3 linked regions of the Arabidopsis thaliana genome follow. The protein of the gene in region 3 interacts with the protein of the main gene of each other region in a pairwise test. Each region holds a gene or a part of one and is shown on either strand. Other genes may lie near its edges.

What was found. The genes of interacting proteins can lie anywhere in the genome.
Region 1: the proteins of AT5G17560 (region 3) and CXIP1 interact in a two-hybrid assay, tested with the Arabidopsis thaliana proteins (one study listed by BioGRID).
Region 2: the proteins of AT5G17560 (region 3) and GRX4 interact in a two-hybrid assay, tested with the Arabidopsis thaliana proteins (one study listed by BioGRID).

Annotation. Positions count from the first base shown.
Region 1 is NC_003074.8:20,340,798-20,344,238, forward strand, and holds CXIP1 (CAX interacting protein 1), read right to left. Parts: upstream 1,668-3,441; 5' UTR 1,575-1,667; coding exon 1,053-1,574; 3' UTR 560-1,052; downstream 1-559. Other genes in the region: LHCA1 (chlorophyll a-b binding protein 6), read right to left, coding at 1-125; AT3G54910 (RNI-like superfamily protein), read right to left, coding at 2,170-2,436, 2,564-2,704, 2,767-3,441. UniProt on the Arabidopsis thaliana protein: May only reduce GSH-thiol disulfides, but not protein disulfides. Probably involved in the regulation of the redox state of the BOLA proteins. May act as Fe-S cluster donors to Fe-S cluster-requiring proteins.
Region 2 is NC_003074.8:5,307,135-5,311,240, reverse strand, and holds GRX4 (glutaredoxin 4), read left to right. Parts: upstream 1-1,616; 5' UTR 1,617-1,857; coding exon 1,858-1,929; intron 1,930-2,206; coding exon 2,207-2,347; intron 2,348-2,433; coding exon 2,434-2,533; intron 2,534-2,645; coding exon 2,646-2,712; intron 2,713-2,886; coding exon 2,887-2,965; intron 2,966-3,056; coding exon 3,057-3,107; 3' UTR 3,108-3,476; downstream 3,477-4,106. Other genes in the region: AT3G15670 (Late embryogenesis abundant protein (LEA) family protein), read left to right, coding at 340-393, 477-1,100; AT3G15650 (alpha/beta-Hydrolases superfamily protein), read right to left, coding at 3,477-3,561, 3,649-3,742, 3,841-3,923, 4,006-4,106.
Region 3 is NC_003076.8:5,786,732-5,790,515, reverse strand, and holds AT5G17560 (BolA-like family protein), read right to left. Parts: upstream 2,159-3,784; 5' UTR 2,043-2,158; coding exon 1,719-2,042; intron 1,384-1,718; coding exon 1,316-1,383; coding exon of another isoform or gene 1,312-1,315; exon of another isoform or gene 1,141-1,311; coding exon of another isoform or gene 1,122-1,140; exon of another isoform or gene 987-1,121; coding exon 845-986; 3' UTR 552-844; downstream 1-551. Other genes in the region: PEX19-2 (peroxin 19-2), read left to right, coding at 2,350-2,395, 2,523-2,562, 2,732-3,020, 3,329-3,645, 3,728-3,773.

The DNA of each region.
Region 1 (3,441 bases), on a different chromosome or scaffold from region 3:
ATACGACCAACATTCCCGGCGTTTGGGAGTGGAACTCCGGCGGATACGAATTTAGACTTGGAAGAAGAGAGAAGCGAAGGGTACACGGCGGCTATGCCACAGCTCATAAGCGAGTTCGACGCCATCGTTTCTCTCTATCTGTCGTTGTGTTTGCCACCAAAGGAGAAAGATGTGGACGAGAGGTGTTTGGTGGAAGTGTGAATGTGGGAGACTGATCGTATAAGTAAGATTTGTGAGATGAGAATCTAAAACCAGATTGCAATTGGCTATACAGAGCCTGCGTGGCTTTTTCATTGGGCCACGTGTCTTCTCGATATCATGTTCTTCTGTTCGATATCCATCTGCACTATGTGGTTCAGATAAAAGCAGAATCTACGTATATTACTATTTTGCCATTTATCCACTGCAACGAGATGCTATCAGATAAGTCTTCCTGTTCGGTGAAACACATTTCTACTAATGTTTTAAAACTTGACCCGGACCGGTAAATCTGCGATTGGTCATGAATCCGGTCTGGATTTATTGCTAAGACTGGAGACTTATCAAACCGGTAAAACTTGGATCAACGAACACATGCGAGGCTAAATCATATGTCTTGAAAGGAGTATCTAACAAACGATACATTTTGAGACAACGTGTTTAGACATTGAAGTGAGACAGAATACCATTTGCAGACACACTGTACCGGTGAATGTTCAGAATCTTTGGAACTAAGTTTCTTTAAATTGTATCTCAATCAGGATATGAATGAGCATAACAACCCATGACTTCATGTCTCTTAGTCAGAAACAAACTTAGATTCTACTAGCACTACTTCACACATAAACCTTTCAACAAACAACACAAATTTGCAGGCCAACACATATGACAAAGGAAACTCAAATTCCAAGCAACTCCAACTGTTGTATACCTAAATCCATCATACAATATATGTCTCTTAATGTTACAACCACAAACTCTGAAACATCAAAATCACATTTTTTTTCCCAGGTGATAGATAGATAGATAAGATCAAATTCCATCATCACAAAAACCAAGTATTGAAATCAGGATCAAGAGCACATAGCTTTCTCCACCTCTTCCTGCAATTCTCCAGTCTTAAACGCCTCAAGAGTAATATCACAACCACCGAAAAACTCACCGCCGATATAAAGCTGAGGAAACGTCGGCCAATTCGAATACTCTTTAAGTCCTTGCCTCAACATCTCATTCTCCAGAATATTCACATCTTCGAAAGGAACATTCAGATTCTTCAAAATCTGAACCACAGTGTTGGAGAATCCACACATCGGGAAGTCTCTCGTTCCTTTCATAAACAGAACCACTTTCTCCGAATTCACCAGTTTCTCCAGCGTGTCTTTAAGTTGCGGCGTAAGAGCCGACGCTGAGCATCGGAATTTAGTTGGTTTCAGCTTGAGATTCGAACCGTAGAACGATAGCTGATGGTTATGGACGACGAGTGCCGACGTTGGTTTAAGAGAGAATCTGATAGAGTGAGGCTTGTTGGTAACGGAGGAGGAGACGACGGCGACCGAAGTTATCAAGGTCGGCGTTTTGACAGATCGGAGAGCCATTTTTGACGACTTTTAGATTTGGAATTGAGAAATTGAAAAGGTAAATGATTTATGAGCCACAGACACTCAGTGCGAGTGAGAATTGAATAAACCATGTTGCCAAACATCACCACTAAGCCGGTAGTGCATGTCATAATCATGGGTTTAAAAATAAAAATTAGAGGACATTCCGGTTCGGTTTGGTTCGACTCTTTAGATTCCGGTATTTTAGATATTAAGAAATTGGTTGGTTCCACTTGGATCGTATTAGTATTTCGGTTTAATAATTTTAGAGAAATTATCAGGGCATCAAATGCTTTTCAGTTTTTCAACACAGAGCTAGTTCTCTTTTCTTCATTCACAAGGTATGTATATATCTCTACACACCTATAAAACCCCATAAACGATTAAAACTTATCATATAACTTCTCCAATCAACATAATTTGTTTTTTGGTGGACAACATATAGAATAAAGTTTTTATCACATACAAAAAAAACGGAAAACATAGAAAAAGATGGTTGACGAAAACAAATTTTCAGGTTGAAGACAAACCATACGAGCCCGGGGACATGGAAGAACTGAAGAACAAGCTTTGTTTTGGTGATCAAATACTCTCAATCAAACACGAGTTGGCATGTTGTTGAAGCTCTAGAAGAAAGTGCCAACTCCTTTAACATGTCAAATCTTTCATCATCAAAAACACATGACTTGATTGTTGTGGTCTTCAAGTGAACAGCGTTCTTCAAGAAATACACTGCAAGATCTCTCTCTTCTGGTGTTCCTCTATATGCCGACAAGTTGAGAGTTTGGAGACTCAACAACATACATTCAGGGACAGTACTTGGTTGATGCCAGTAAAGGATATCATGATTCTCATGATACTGAGATCAAACAGAAGAAGAATTACAGATCAAACAGAAGAAGAATTACAGATCAAACAGAAGAAGAATTACACTAAAACCATAATGTGCATCAGACAAGAAAAAAGAGTTTGACGAACAAACTTACATCCATTTCGGAAAGGTCTAGTGCTTGTAAGTTAGAAGAATCTTTGAGCAGTCGGACAAGTAAATCCGACGAATGCCCTTTGCATCTACATAGCTTCAGATGTTTAAGCTGGTTGAAGACAAAACCTCCATCATACATAGCCTGCGCAATATTAAAAATTATCAGCAAATGCATATCTAAACAATGAGTTGAGAAAATGATACCTGTGAACATATTGAAAGACGCTTGACAGATGTGATTGATCCAATAAGACTCTTGATGCTATGTAATTCAACATCTATATCTGCCTCTATCAGGTTAGGCATATTCTTAACCAAACAGTAGTGACTCTTACTGTTATGGTCTATAAGTTTAAAATACTTTAAAGAAGGAGTTTCTATCACAATCCCATCGATCTCATAAGAATGAGGTATAAAGAGTGATAAAATCTGCAAAGATGGGACAACAACAGTTAGCTTTTCCATGCTGTCTGACAAAAGTAAATCCACCAATAGATCTTCAAGAACAGGGCAGTTAGATAGAAGCCGATGAAGAGAGTCTTCATTGAGGTATCTCACGCTGTGAAGTTGCAAAGTTTTCAGAGAGGGAAGAAATGCCATTCGAGGAACATCCAAGCGAATCTCGCCACAGAGTTCCAAGATCACAAGCGATTTGCAGGTATACAAGTTACTCGGCAATATGTTTGGCTTCTCCGGATATGAAGAATAAATAACCTCCAGCTCACGCAGGCAGTGAGAAACTGCTATAACAACCCACATCTTGATATTCTCAGGTGTGCATTTTGAATCAATTAAGTAAAGACGGAAGCTTTCTATAACCGGAGCTCTATGTAATGGCAGATTTTTGTCAAGAAAACACTCCAACCTCTTGCATTCAGA
Region 2 (4,106 bases), on a different chromosome or scaffold from region 3:
TTGCCACGTAGCAAGCATCTTCCTCTTAACCATGAGGTGTCGCAACCTCAGAGGACAACACGGACAAGACCGAGAAACCGCATACTAACGCTTGCAACGTAAAGCACAACACCCCTAAACTCCTATTTTTTTAATTTTCTTTTAACCTCAACACACCACGCAGCTATACACGTTTCAATGTGCTAATACGTGTCTTCTTCTCCGCCGACCAAGACACACTACAAATGTCCCGATGGTTTGGGGAGACAAATCACAGTTTCTACTACAACAACAAATACTTTTACGAAAAAAGCTTTTAAAACTTATCTAGTTTCGTTTGATACACATTTGAAGAAAGAAATGGCATCCAACCAACAGAGCTACAAAGCTGGTGAGACCAGAGGCAAGGCCCAGGTAATAAGAATATATTTTTGTGTATGTGTATACGTAAAACCACATTATATAAGCTCTAAGATGATTTGTCTGTGTAATACCAGGAGAAGACTGGACAAGCTATGGGAACGATGAGGGACAAGGCTGAGGAGGGCCGGGACAAGACTTCTCAAACGGCCCAAACAGCCCAACAGAAGGCCCATGAGACAGCCCAGTCAGCTAAAGATAAGACATCTCAAACTGCCCAAGCGGCTCAGCAGAAGGCCCATGAAACGGCCCAGTCAGCAAAAGAGAAGACATCTCAAACTGCCCAAACGGCACAGCAAAAGGCCCATGAGACGACGCAAGCAGCAAAAGAAAAGACATCTCAAGCTGGCGACAAAGCTCGCGAGGCCAAGGACAAGGCCGGGAGCTACTTATCGGAGACAGGCGAAGCCATAAAGAACAAGGCTCAAGACGCTGCTCAGTATACAAAGGAGACGGCTCAAGGTGCGGCACAGTACACAAAGGAGACGGCTGAAGCCGGTAGAGACAAGACGGGTGGATTCTTGAGCCAGACTGGTGAGCATGTTAAGCAAATGGCAATGGGTGCAGCTGATGCAGTGAAGCATACTTTTGGGATGGCTACTGAGGAAGAAGACAAAGAGCATTATCCAGGAAGTACTACTACCACTACTGCAACTACTCGAACCACTGATCCGACTCATCAGACTTATCAGAGGAAGTGATGAGAAAACAAAATTGAGAACGATATGAAAGTATCTTTGTGTTAGTTGGTCTTTTGAGTTTTGTGTTTGTGTTTTTGTAATTTCCGTTGTGTCTTTCTTTATGGTTGTGGTTCAGCTGTGTTTCTTGTTGTGACGGTGATCCTGGAGACTTCTAATTTCCAGCCAATAAGTTTAGATTTGATCCTGTTACAACTTATGTGTTCTCAAATTTCTATTTTTGTTACAATAAACAGTTATTAATACACATCATGGTCCACTTCGTATGTTGGTCATCAAGCATTAGCATTATACAGATATAGCTGCTAATCCAAACGGGTTTTACTAATCTTTCAATTTCTTTTATCAAAAATTTCAATAAAACATTTGTGTCTGCTTTTACGTTTTACGAATCGTTCAATTTCATAGATCTACTAAAATGAGAGAAGTAAACCAAAAAAATTGAATAGTAATTTATCTAAACCGAGCAAACCAAATAAATTTATCAAGACGTCAACGGACGTATACTTTGGTGACCATCCGAAACGACATCGTATAACATCTTAGGGTTATGAGTAATGACACGACGTCGTTCTCTGGGTCGGTCACTGGAGATGAAGAGAAGCGGTCGCGACATTGTAAAGATCTCTAGCTCCGTCCTTCTTCCTCGTAGCTACCCTCTCTAATCTTTTTTTCTCATTCCTGTTCTTGATAGTTTTCTAGACAGATTTCGATTAAACAAAACCGCGGAACACTTTGAAGAAATCTGCGTGATTTAGAGATGGCGGCTTCTTTATCGAGCAGACTTATAAAAGGAATCGCTAATCTCAAAGCTGTTCGTTCTAGCAGATTGGTTAGATTCTCTCATAACCCTTTTACTCAATTTTGATGTATCTAATGTTTGCTCAATAAAGTTTTCTCTTTTCCCATCTTGAATCACTTAAAAATTGCTCCTTTATATAACATTTGAGGTTCTGATTCTTTTGTTAGTTGAACCGGATTAGATAGTTACGTGAGCGTATGGTTTTGAATTATGTGAAAATGAATTTGTTTCCAATAGAAGATGGTATTGATGATCATTTGATAGTTGAATTTAACATGGAGAAGAATGATGTGGTTTTTGTTTGCAGACGTCTGCATCAGTCTACCAAAATGGGATGATGAGATTTTCCTCAACAGTGCCAAGTGATTCAGATACACATGATGATTTCAAGCCTACACAAAAAGTCCCTCCCGATTCTACGGACTCACTTAAAGATATCGTTGAGAATGTACACTCCAGCTTCTCTAGATTTGAAGTTGAATGTTTCTTTGTTAGGTGTTTGCTAATGCTGTTTTAGCTTTGGTGGTTGTGTAGGATGTGAAGGATAATCCTGTTATGATCTACATGAAAGGTGTCCCTGAATCTCCTCAGTGTGGGTTTAGCTCACTAGCCGTCAGAGTTTTGCAGCAATATAGTAAGTTTTGTTGAAATGTTGATTGAAACTGAAGAAGCCTTCTGTGAATTTTCTTTACTATTGGCGTTAGGCTCTGTGTTCTGATCTACTATCTTGTGATATCCTTCTTTAGATGTTCCTATCAGTTCTAGAAACATTCTAGAAGACCAAGAGTTGAAAAACGCTGTGAAATCCTTCAGGTGAGTATGTGGACACTTAATGAAAGTTTCATACAGAGAGTTGTATAATCTCATTCTCAAAGTTTTTTCATAAAGTTTGGCTTTGTTATTGAAGTTCGTTACCGTTCATTCCTTAATCTTTGACCTATATGATCTAGACCTCCCTTTGATTTTCAAGTCTTTATTTCTTTGCAGCCACTGGCCTACGTTTCCACAGATCTTCATTAAGGGAGAGTTCATTGGCGGCTCAGACATCATCCTTAACATGCACAAGGTTAGTTCCACTTAAAGCAGACCCTGTTTGACTTTTTTTTCCCCCGTTTCCATTGTGTTTGTTTAATCACAAGTCTCTTTTACTATTCTAGGAAGGTGAATTGGAGCAGAAGCTTAAAGACGTCTCCGGAAACCAAGATTGATCCAAAGTTTGGAAGTTATGCTGACGAGTGGAAGTTATTATGTTTTTGTTCTTTCTTTTCATAAGAATGTCTTTTCATGTACGGTAAAATAATGTCTCAGAAACTCAAAAATCTTTGGATTTCGTATGAATAAAAACTTTGGTAAACTAAGATAGCAAAATCAAAGAAGCCCAACGAGCCTTATTTATTTATTTTATTATTCATAATCAAGAATCGAACAGTAGAAAAGCATGAATAAATCACAAAACAGTAGAAACATGAGAGAACACCGTATACCCCAAGAAACCCCCCACCCCTTATATATATAATATAAATATTCTACACCATCGTATAATAGCTATAGAGATGCTGAGAAGATGCTTGTAAAGTTTAACGCGAACCCTCGAGACCAAGCCTTGAGACGAGCCAGTGAACCACCTCATCCATTTCTTTAGGAACCGTATAGTGACCAAGCCTACACAATCACATTAAAACCTCACAATCTCAGACTAAAACAACTAGATTGATAATGATAACTTTGGGATATAGGTTGAACAGTTACCCTTCATATGGTTTGAACATAGTTTGTCGGAATCCAGCCATGGCAAGTGAATGAGCAGATTTTTCTCCAAATCTATAAGGAACTACATCGTCCGCTGCAACCAAAAAACACATAAAGTGAATAAAATTCTAGATTCTCTTCGGTGATTTTATCTTGAAACAGTAAATCATATAATGATATATGTAAACATACAAGTTCCATGTGCAAGTAAGATCGGTATCGATGCAGCGCGCCTTGCAACCTCATTCGAACTTTCTATTTTGCTCCTTAAGCTCCTGCATTGTTATGTTTAAGCTTTCAATGTTAAGTCTCTGTGTTAACAAGTGACAAGAAAGGGTTGAAGACATATATTTATACCTCCAACCAGGAAGCCAACCGCTAAGTCCTACAGTAGCTCGTAGGTTTATAGTATAAGCATGTCCGGTTCCATAACGTCCAAGAGCGTAGCACGTCGTGGA
Region 3 (3,784 bases):
ACCAATCATAATGTGAAAAAAAACATGTGATGGGTTGTGGTAGTATAGTATCTATAAAACCTATGTTTGTCTACTTGTAATAATTGGAGTTAAATGAACTTATGTTTCCAAGTTGTAACAATATGAGTGTTTTCTTTTTTTACAAAACAACATTATGTTTCTAATGATGGTATAATAACCGATAACAAAAAAAAAAAAACTGTTAATCCATGTAGCTAAAGTAAAGATATGGGAATTTGAGCAGATGGACTAGTTGTAACCATTATTAAGTGTTGCTACTACTGATATAAACGATTTTTGTCTAGTTGATGGCTAATACGGTTCCCAAATCAACCATAGTAGTTCAATATTCAGTTATTCACTATTCATGCATGTAACATGTATATAAAAGCAACAATCATATTATTATAAATCTTACAATTTTCATTGCAAAAAACTTTTCAGTTTTGAATTGATACGTTTCCATGCATACATATAATTTTTATGACCACAAATATATTTTAATCTATTTATCGACTAAATTTTTTTTTTTGAAATGATAACATTAGCTAGTAGAGAATAAAGTTTATTTTGAAGATAATCCGCCACCACAAACGCTAATTTTGTTCTTATTCATTTAGAGCGATTGAAAACGCCAAACACGTGTAACCGCAAACCGCAAACGCTCCAACACTTAACATGTGTTGGCGGGTTGCAAGAGAACCAATCAAAGTACTTAAAAAATAACCAAAAGCTGTATATCAGTTCCTTTTGCTTTTTTCTTTTTGATAAAACAAACAGCATTGTCAGCTAATCAAATAATATAAGATATTGAAGCCTTTTAGAGTTCGGAAAATTTAACGCTTCAAACTTCAGAAGGAGTCTTTGTTGTCATTTGATCAACGGCATGAACAACGTTCTGAAGCTCTTCCCAAATGGCTTTGTAGACCATCCTTTGTCTGTTCACTGCAGATTGTCCCTCAAAAGCCGATGATACCACATTGATGCTACAAATATTAAGCAAAACTGGTATTAAGTAACAGAACCATCTAATATGACAAGTTAAAGTAAGAATCTATGACTGGATTCCATCAAGAGCAGAAGAATAAGTACTAACTTATATCCCAACTTTGATGATTCTACTACTTGTTGAACCTGAAACTTTTTTGTGATTAAAATGAAAGAAAAGGAATCTCAAAATATGAATTTATCTATATATCTAACAAACTTCACTAAACACTATCCATAACAGTGATAACACACATCTGCAACTTCACTCAAGTGTAATAAAGAATCATCATTGGAAGACAAAAATGAGTTAAATCAGAGTACTTACCAGACATGACGTCCATCTCCAGACATATCCGTTACAGTAACCGACTCTGCATTCAATTGTTCTTTGATCTGCAAATGAAGCCAAAACCTCATAAGTAGAGAGACATGTGTTGATAAATCGAAAAAAAGAATCGTTTGCTTCAATCATATAAGTAAGAGACATGATTCCTCATTAATTATCTTAGCTTAGTGATCTTGATCATTTTGGAGCTACTGAGAGCAATCGTGTTGCCAATACCAAGTTTCCATCAACTAAATATGACACATGTTGCCAATACCAAGTATCCAATCAATTCCTTCAAAAATTCACTAATAATACTATAACCTATAAATTGAATTGACACTGAAACATACACAATGAATCAATTTCACTGAAATTAGTTAATGAGGTATAAAAATCCAACCTTTAGCTCCATGGATTGCATAAGGGTTTGATCAATAGAACCAGCATCATTGATTTGAGAGGATTTAGTACTGAAATTAAGGCTGCGAATGTCCAAAGCACCAAACCCAGAAACCCTAGAAACTCTATTGCCGTAAATCGACGACGGCGCAGTCTCTTTACGAGACAAAACGGCGCTTACACATCTCGAGTTAGTGAATCTCACGAGAGGAGCTGAGAATGAAGCGAAGGGTCTCTTTGAAGATTGAAAAAGGCGATAAAGACTCGCTCTTGTGGAAGAGAGAAGAACGTACGGACGAGTTGTCGCCATTAATGTCTGCGCCATTGCTTGAGAGACTTGCGAGTAAAAAAAAAAAAAATGTTCTGTGGCAATGTCGTTGGTTCTTGAAAAAATGGGCTTACGACACAACACAGTTAAACTTAATGGGCTTTCGTGGTTTCAAGTCATTTTAAGATTTTAATAATATAATTCTTTAATGGAAATAATGTCAGCCGTTGGATCGAATCCTGAACTTGATCAATTGAACAACACCGCCTTTGGAAATTTGTTTCTCTCTTCAATGCGATAATTCTCTCTTCCTCTTCGAATTTTGTGAGTTTCTTCGAGAGTTGAGGAAGAGAGACTCGAGAATATGGCCAACGATACTCACACCGATGACTTAGACGAGCTTCTCGATAGTAATAATTTCCTAACGAATTTTAATTTGATTTGATAACATGTTCACCAATTCTAGGTGATTGGTGAAAAACGTTTTTGTTCTTGTGGGTTCGTTTTCTATAATTTAGAATTCTGGGTCTTTCTCAGGTGCCTTGGATGATTTCAAGGATCTTAATCTTACTCAAAGGTTACTCCTTTTTCTCATAATCTCTGTCTCTCTCTAATTGTATCTATGCCACGTGGTTAGATTACTTAGCTCTAGAGTTTTGAGATTGTGGTTACATCAATACTAAATTAGAGGTTCTGTTATGTTTTTGGTGGGAATTGTGGTGTTGATTAGCTTTGGATTTATGTAGAAATGGAGGGGTTAAGAAAGAAGAGGGTGATAAAAAAGAGACAGAGTCATTGCCAAGTGGGGTTCAAGGTCTTGGAATGGGGTTACCAGATATGAGGAGTAAGAAGAAAGGAAAGAAAAAGATTGCTAAAGAGGACCATGTTACTGAGGCACTTGATAAACTCAGGGAACAAACTAGAGAAACTGTGAAGGGACTTGAGTCCTTGTCATCGAAGCAGCAACCTACAGGTTCTGATGATGCTATGGTTGAAGATTGGATCAAGCAATTCGAGAATCTTACTGGGTCTAACGTAAGTATACACAAACTGAGTTGTTACTTCTTGCTATACTTATCTAGTTTAATGTTCTCTTTATCTTCAAGTTCTCTGATTAGATTAGATTACTAAAGTTTCATCTAGTTAAGGTTGTTGCAGAGTAGTAACACATGTTGCAAAGTAGTTTTGAAGGCTGTGTTAATAGTAGTGATACTGATACTAATATCGAAAAAACCACAATTGAAGATGAGAATTAGTTTGCAGAACCATTTGAAAGTAGTCTTGATCACTAGAAGTTTTGTTTTTATGATTTCTCATTTCATAATTTCCATGTTTTTGTTTAGGACTTGGAGTCGATAGTGGACACGATGATGCAACAGCTGTTATCGAAGGATATTCTTCACGAACCAATGAAAGAGATTGGTGCAAGATACCCAAAATGGCTAGAAGAGCATGAATCCAGTCTAAACAAGGAAGAATTCGATCGTTATTCACGCCAGTATGAACTTATCAAAGAACTCAACTTGGTGTACGAGAACGAACCAAACAATTCGACCAAGATAATGGAGATAATGCAGAAGATGCAAGAGTGTGGACAACCACCGAGTGATATAGTGCAAGAGATGGATCCTGGCTTTGATTTCGCTAGTCTGGGCCAAATGTAAGTCTTCTTCCTTATTGGAATCTCTGTGATCTTTAAAGACCCCAAGGTGACTAAGTTTTGTATATATATATGTTCACAGGTCTCCGGACATGCTCGAGTCTTCACCAAATTGTTGTGTAATGTGAGGGAAGAAACA